Ovis aries: one gene and its partner. The protein of the gene in region 1 interacts with the protein of each later gene in a biochemical or structural test. Links are inferred from orthologs where the notes say so. Each region holds a gene or a part of one and is shown in the gene's direction. Other genes may lie near its edges.

Region 1 (3,512 bases):
CAACCCCCCTCAGCCCCGTGAGCCCTCCCCTCTCTCGCTTCCTGAGCCCTGGCCCCTCAGTGCTAACCCCGTCTCCACCTCACAGGCCTGGGAGCGGCTCGAGAAAGCCGAGCACGAGCGTGAGCTGGCCCTGCGCACAGAGCTCATCCGCCAGGAGAAGCTGGAGCAGCTGGCCGCCCGCTTCGACCGCAAGGCCGCCATGCGGGAGACCTGGCTCAGCGAGAACCAGCGCCTGGTGTCTCAGGTAGGACGCAGGGGCTCCTGGCCCGCCCAGGCAGGTCTGGAGACATAGGGAGTGAGAAACAGAGGTGGATAAATAGCCCTGCCACGTGGGGAGCTAATGAAACAAGAACTCCATGGCTCAGATGAGCAGACCAAGAACCCGGGAACTGGAGGCTTGAACGGGAATAGGGCTGATGAGCCAGGATGGGATAGAACAGACGGGACGTCTAGAACCACCCCCTGGAGCTGGCGTCTTGCAGTTTGCTCTGGGGCGGGGGGGGGGGGGCAGGGGGTGAGCAGAGCAGTGGCCCCCAGCCCTCAGACCTCCCTCCCTGCCCCCTCCCCAGGACAACTTCGGCCTGGAGCTGGCCGCTGTGGAGGCAGCAGTGCGGAAGCACGAAGCCATTGAGACGGACATCGTGGCCTACAGCGGCCGGGTGCAGGCGGTGGACGCCGTGGCCGCAGAGCTGGCCGCCGAGCACTACCATGACATCAAGCGCATCGCCGCACGCCAGCACAACGTGGCGCGGCTCTGGGACTTCCTGCGGCAGATGGTGGCTGCCCGGCGGGAGAGGCTCCTCCTCAACCTGGAGCTGCAGAAGGTGTTCCAGGACCTGCTCTACCTCATGGACTGGATGGAAGAGATGAAGGTACCTGCGGATGCTGCAGTCGGGCCGAGATGGTCAGGACCGTGCTGGGGGGTGGCGATGAGCAGGTTCCCTCAGCTGCTCAGCCAGGTCTTTGCAGAGTGTGCACCAGTTTGGGGCCCTGTCCTTTGTTTAGATAAGCAGACTGCTCCCTGTCCTCATGGGGCTCACGTTCGAGGGGGAGGAGACTGATGATAAAACCCTTGGCCGGTCCGTAAACAACATAGCAGCTGGGCGTGAAACCTATGAGGAAACGGCAACAGGCCATGTGATGGAGTGGTCCAGGAGGGCCTCCCTGAAAAATGGCTTTTAAGCTGAGAGCAGAGTGTCCCAAGGAGCTCTGAGGAAAGAATGTTCCAGGCCAAAGGAACAGAAAGGCCCTGGGCTTGCTCATGTGTGGCATGTTCCAATGAGAAAGGAGGCCCTCAGGGACTGTAAGAACAGGGGCCGGGGGCGGGGGGTACAGGGGATGAGGTCAGAGAGGAAGTAGCCAGCTCACTTAAGGCTCACAGGCCTGGTCAAGGAGTTTGGATGTTACTCAGAGTAACATGGAACACTGAAGGTGCTTAGAAGGTTTTGAAAAGAAGAAGAGACGTGATTCTGCATTTTCACATTTTTTAAAATGTCACTTTGGCTGCTATTTGAAGAAGGGCTGTGGGCAGCCAGAGTGGGAGCTGAGAGACCAGTCTGAGGCTGTTGCAGTGATCCAGGCGAGAGATGGGGACATGGATAGGCCTGGAGAGACAATGACGATCTCGCTGGGGGGCTGGGGATGGAGCCGTGACCGTAGGAGGGCGGGGATAATTCTGGGGCCGAGAAAATGAGTCAGCGCAGAGATTCCTGGAGCAGGATTTAGTAAGAAAGTCGTTCCACAGGAGGGGAGTTGAGTGCAGAGGCCAGAGTGCCAGGACAGAGCTCAGGGGGTCCGTATGTGTGTGAGTGAGGACTGACGGACGGAAGCAGGCATGCTCACGTGGGTGCGATCAAGTGGAGCTGCCCAGAGAGTCGGGTTGTGCGGTTGATCCTTGGAAGACAGGATGAGGTGAGCACGTGTGTGTGTGTGTGCGCGCGCGCGTGTGTGGCGGGGCAAGAGCCTCGGCTCAGAGGGAACCGTGCAGCTCTCAGACGGGCATCAACATGCCCGGCGTGCCCCACAGGGCCGGCTGCAGTCCCAGGACCTGGGCAAACACCTAACGGGAGTGGAGGACCTGCTGCAGCTGCACGAGCTGGTGGAAGCTGACATTGCCGTGCAGGCCGAGAGGGTGCGGGCGGTCAGCGCCTCTGCACTGCGCTTCTGCGACCCTGGGAAAGGTGACAATGAGGGAAGGGACTGGGACAGAGAGGGGCTGAGAAGGAGGACAGTAAGAGCCGAGGCAGCAAGATGGGAAGAACCTGGGGACAGGAAAGGTGATGGGTGGTTTGTGGGTGGCAGAGTGAGAAGTGTGGGGTGGTGGGGGTTGGAACTGGGGGGTACACACAGGAGGCAGAGGGCGGGGCCACAGCTCTTGGCCCTCTGGTGTGACCTTTGCAGAGTACAAACCCTGTGACCCCCAGCTGGTGTCGGAGCGGGTGGCCACCCTGGAGAAGAGCTATGAGTCGCTGTGCGAACTGGCAGCGGCTCGCAGGGCCCGGCTGGAGGAGTCCCGGCGGCTCTGGCGCTTCCTCTGGGAGGTGGGCGAGGCCGAGGCCTGGGTGCGGGAACAGCAGCACCTCCTGGCCTCGGCAGAAACCGGCCGGGACCTGACCGGCGTCCTCCGCCTGCTCAACAAGCACACCGCCCTGCGGGGCGAGATGAGCGGCCGCCTGGGGCCCCTGAAGCTCACCCTGGAGCAGGGCCAGCAGTTAGTGGCCGAGGGCCACCCTGGGGCCGGCCAAGCGGCCGCCCGCACCGCCGAGCTCCAAGCCCAGTGGGAGCGGCTGGAAGCCCTGGCGGAGGAGCGGGCCCAGCGGCTCGCCCAGGCCGCCAGCCTCTACCAGTTTCAGGCGGACGCCAACGACATGGAGGCCTGGCTGGTGGACGCGCTGCGCCTGGTGTCCAGCCCTGAGCTGGGGCACGACGAGTTCTCCACACAGGCCCTGGCCCGGCAGCACCGGGCCCTGGAGGAAGAGATCCGGGGCCACCGGCCCACGCTGGACGCGCTGAGGGAACAGGCGGCGGCCCTGCCGCCCGCGCTGAGCCGCGCGCCTGAGGTGCAGGGCCGCGTGCCCACCCTGCAGCGGCACTATGAGGAGCTGCGGGCCCGGGCGGGCGAGCGTGCCCACGCCCTGGAGGCCGCCCTGGCTCTCTACACCATGCTCAGCGAGGCCGGGGCCTGCGGGCTCTGGGTGGAGGAGAAGGAGCAGTGGCTCAATGGGCTCGCCCTGCCTGAGCGCCTAGAGGACCTGGAGGTCGTGCAGCAGAGGTAGGTGCCCTGCCCCCTGCCCCCTGCCCCTCCACCCCGCTTCCAGACTGGCATTGTGAGCTGGGGGCCAGCGTGTGGGGTGACGTCCAGCCATAACCTGCCTGCTTCTGGTACCCCACTCTGAGTCTTAGCAGGCGTCCGTTTTTGGTTTTAATGAAAAATGTTAAACATACTCAGAAATAGAAACCTTATTCAACAGACTCAGCCAGATTCAATAATCATCAGCATCATGCTCTGTTAG
Region 2 (4,086 bases), on another chromosome or scaffold:
AATGATCTCATCCTCTGTTGTCCCCGTCTCCTGCCCTCAATCCCTCCCAGCATCAGGGTCTTTTCAAATGAGTCAGCCCTTAGCATCAGGTGGCCAAAATATTATTGGAGCTTCAGCTTCAAAATCAGTCCTACAATGAACACCCAGGACTGATCTCCTTTAGGATGGACAGGTTGGATCTCCTTGCAGTCCAAGGGGCTCTCAAGAGTCTTCTCCAACACCACAGTTCAAAAGCATCAATTCTTCGGCGCTCAGCTTTCTTCACAGTCCAACTCTCACATCCATACATGACCACTGGAAAAACCATAGCCTTGACTAGATGGACCTTTGTTGGCAAAGTAATCTCTCTGCTTTTGAATATACTATCTAGGTTGGTCATAACTTTCCTTCCAAGGAAGAAGCATCTTTTAATTTCATGGCTGCAATCACCATCTGCAGTGATTTGGGAGCCCCCCAAAATAAAGTCTGACACTGTTTCCACTGTTTCCCATCTATTTCCCATGAAGTGATGGGACTGGATGCCATGATCTTCGTTTTCTGAATGTTGAGCTTTAAGCCAACTTTTTCACTCTCCTCTTTTACGTTCATCAAGAGGCTTTTAGTTCCTCTTCACCTTCTGCAATAAGGGTGGTGTCATCTGCATATCTGAGGTTATTGATATTTCTCCCGGCAATCTTGATTCCAGCTTGTGTTTCTTCCAGCCCAGCGTTTCTCATGATGTACTCAGCATATAAATTAAATAAGCAGCATGACAATATACAGCCTTGACGTACTCCTTTTCCTATTTGGAACCAGTCTGTTGTTCCATGCCCAGTTCTAACAGTTGCTTTCTGACCTGCATACAGGTGGTAGATGTTTATTAATGCCTTATAGACCCATATAAAAACATTGCAACCTCATATTGTCCAGGGGAAGTAGTGGCAAGTGGAAGGACTAGCCTGTAAAATCCAAACATTCACGAGTTACTAATCAATCCAAACCGAACTACAGACAATATTGAAGACTACATACTTCAGCTTGGACTGAGAATCCCTTCAAAGGGTCTACAGATCCAGACGCGAGATTGCAACCATCAATAGGCGTACCCTTCCATTTACCTACAGAAACTACAAAGCCCAGCGTACTGTGCGTCGAAACGCGACGCTCCGTTCCTTAAACTAGGCGGGGTTCCAAAGCAGCCTGGCTCGCTAATTCAGGTGCAAGGCATGTTGGGTATTGTAGTTCTTCGAAAGTGAGGTCGGGCCGCTCCCCGGCTGCCCAGTGCCGGCGGCTAGACTGCGCATGCGTGTCAGTGGCGTTAGCGGCGGACCGGGCTGGCAGTTCCTTCCTCGGAAGGAGAGGTTCTTCTGCCATGGAGTCCTACGATGTAATCGCCAACCAGCCTGTCGTGATCGACAACGTGAGTTGCATCCCCCTAGCAGGGCTTATGCTCTCCTCCCCGAAGGGATCGCTTCCCGTGTTTCAGTCTGGGCTGCCGGTTCTTTGTCACTGGCCCGGCCTGTCAGGCGGGTTCAGCCGCCGCCGCCTCTCTCCTCCCTCGAACCGAAGTCCGCAGATAGGGCGACCAGCTGGCCAGCAGCCATGAGAAGGAGAACCTTGGGATGGATAAAGGGAAGGGTTATAGTCCTAGCAGGGTCCTTGGGCCCTTGACTCAAGGGTCCTTAACCGCTCTGTGAGCCCCCGGCACCCGCCCCTCCCCAGTTTTCGATAACTCTATTGGCTGCTCTGGCTGTCCATCTTGACCGCTGACCCCGCCTCTGGGCCTTGCCGGATGGGGGCAGCCTTCTGCAATGATTGGCTCGTTCCCTTGCCGTTCTTCCGGGCCGCCATAGTGTTTCCTCTTTCAAAGGGCGGTGCGGTGCACGAGGGCTGTTGTGATTGGTTTCGGGGACTCCCAGTGGAGGGGGCAGACGGGCTAGGGCGGCGGGTGGAGCAGGGCTAAGTTTCCTTCGGTCCCAGCCGGTAGGGCGGCTTGGCGGTGTATCTGGGTGGGGTCTGAGAGTGTGATGCCAGAAATGGCCTGAGGATTTCAGTTACTTCTGTGATTATAAATTATACCGTTAATAAAGGTCGAGAAGAAAGGAGAATGACAAAGCAAGCAGGGAGGTACCTTCCTCTTTGAAACGCCTAGTTGCTGAGGGTAAAAATTACTAAATATAATACTTGCCAGGCGCTCCAGCGCTTACAACGGAGGGGTTCGCATACATTCCAGTTGGATCTTCACAACGTGAATAGTTAAGGCAGGAATTTTGATCCTCGTTTTACAAATGAGAAAACTGAAGCGCAAAAATGTAAAGTGAGCCCAAGGTCGCACTTTAATCCTGTGCTTTATCCGTTATTCATCCTGATAGTACCTACGCAAATGTATCAATAGTCACAAATCGAAAGAATCTAAATATAGCTCTTATTTCTGGCGGAAGGAGGCAGTTATTTAAAAAGTGACTGTCTTCCATTCAAAGGTTTAGTCCAATGGAGATTGGTTGCTACCTTTCTAGTCCCCTCTGAGTCCCTCTACTAAGGCAGAACTGCCAATTCGCTCTAAGCTGACTCAGATTCGGTTTCTTGATTCAGTCCTTGGGACCGTTGGCACTTGCAAGGTCCTTTAGTTTGCATCATCTTATTCAAGCTTCAACACTGATAGGTAGATAGGACTCTAAATATCCAGAAAAATGAAACGTGAAAGGTTAAATAACAGTATTCAAACCACCTGGCTTATGAATTGAAGAGCCAAGATTCAATTTGAGATTGAATTCTTAATTCCTCACTTCTTCCAAGGAAAGGTGCTTCTTTAGCTAGCTTTCTTTCCTTCTCTCCTGGAAAAAGGTTGAGCTCAGTGAGACACCTCATTTTGGGGAGGATCTGATCGGCGGGCAGGACAGGGAGGGTCTCGGATCTCCTTCCTTGGGCTATTGAATCCGGGTGGGAAAAGATGCTTGGTAGTCCTTCATTTTTCCTTAGTCTCTCGTTCCCCAGTTTCCTCCACACAGACAGTATCTAGGGCCTGGCACCACTAGGTGCACACTGGATTTTTAATTTTTATGGGTAGGGGGGATTAATGGCTGAAAATCTCTCACAGTAACAAAAATGTCCCTAAATAAAAGGATGGGAGGAAGGACTAGTTACTGCATAAGGTTGAGCAGGACTCTTTATTCTTGATGTTAATTTTCAGAGAACACTACTATTTCTATCTTCAGCCAGTTTGTGTATGCTTCATGTGCCTTTTTCTTGGTTTTAAAAAGAAAGAAAAAATAGAAATTAACAATTTCCTGTTTTCATCAGCAGTGCAAAAAGAGCAGTCTGTCCATCCCACCAGACCTTTTGCTTCTAGAATTGTTGGGCTGCAGTGTTATCTCCAACCATTTTCTTTATGTCACTTAAGCAAATGCTTCTTAGTTCCTTCTTTCTCATTCTTGAGAGTGTATTTGAAATGCATCAAAGCAGCGGTACCTTTTCAGTTTGAATACTTAAGGAATAGACTTGTTTTTCTCTGGGAAAACATTTCCTTTATTATGCCAGCAATCTCACCAAAAGGTGAAGTAGGAGAAACTTAAGTAATTTTCCCACTAGATCATTTAAAATATTTGAGCCAGCTTTATATTATGAGGATAACGTGTCTCTAGCAGATTTAACAGCTCCATAGTTTACCATGCTGCCACAGTTTTATTTCTGGGCTAAGTAGAGTGTAATTAAAAGACAGAAGAACAGAGAAAGCAAGGAAAAGAGAGAACAGCCCCATTATCGGTTCACAGCCTTTCCTAGTCTTAACGCAATTGTTGACCACCCCTTTCATAGAATTCTGGGACCAAACCAATTCATCAGAATTTAATGAAGATGGAAGGGTGTGTGTATGCATATGTGCACACGTGATTTAATGATGACAACAACAAAAAAAAGTGATGAGTATTTTAAAAAACTAAACATGTTGTTCTTCCCAAAGTCATATCACAGATAGTAGTACAAGAATGAGAAGGGCCACTCCCAGGACTACAACACTTTAATAGGAATACTATATTCTGAACTCAGATCTTTGGGAGGTTAAATACTTCCATAAAATGAATCAACATTATGGTCAATCTTAAAATTGTC

The links. The genes of interacting proteins can lie anywhere in the genome.
Region 2: the proteins of SPTBN2 (region 1) and ACTR1A form a complex in vitro, tested with the Homo sapiens proteins (2 studies listed by BioGRID). The link is inferred for Ovis aries from reciprocal best matches to the Homo sapiens genes SPTBN2 and ACTR1A.

Annotation. Positions count from the first base shown.
Region 1 is NC_056074.1:41,148,426-41,151,937, reverse strand, and holds part of SPTBN2 (spectrin beta chain, non-erythrocytic 2), read left to right. Parts: intron 1-85; coding exon 86-244; intron 245-569; coding exon 570-872; intron 873-2,026; coding exon 2,027-2,180; intron 2,181-2,400; coding exon 2,401-3,271; intron 3,272-3,512. UniProt on the Homo sapiens protein: Probably plays an important role in neuronal membrane skeleton.
Region 2 is NC_056075.1:22,874,517-22,878,602, reverse strand, and holds the start of ACTR1A (alpha-centractin), read left to right. Parts: upstream 1-1,285; 5' UTR 1,286-1,351; coding exon 1,352-1,399; intron 1,400-4,086. UniProt on the Homo sapiens protein: Part of the ACTR1A/ACTB filament around which the dynactin complex is built. The dynactin multiprotein complex activates the molecular motor dynein for ultra-processive transport along microtubules.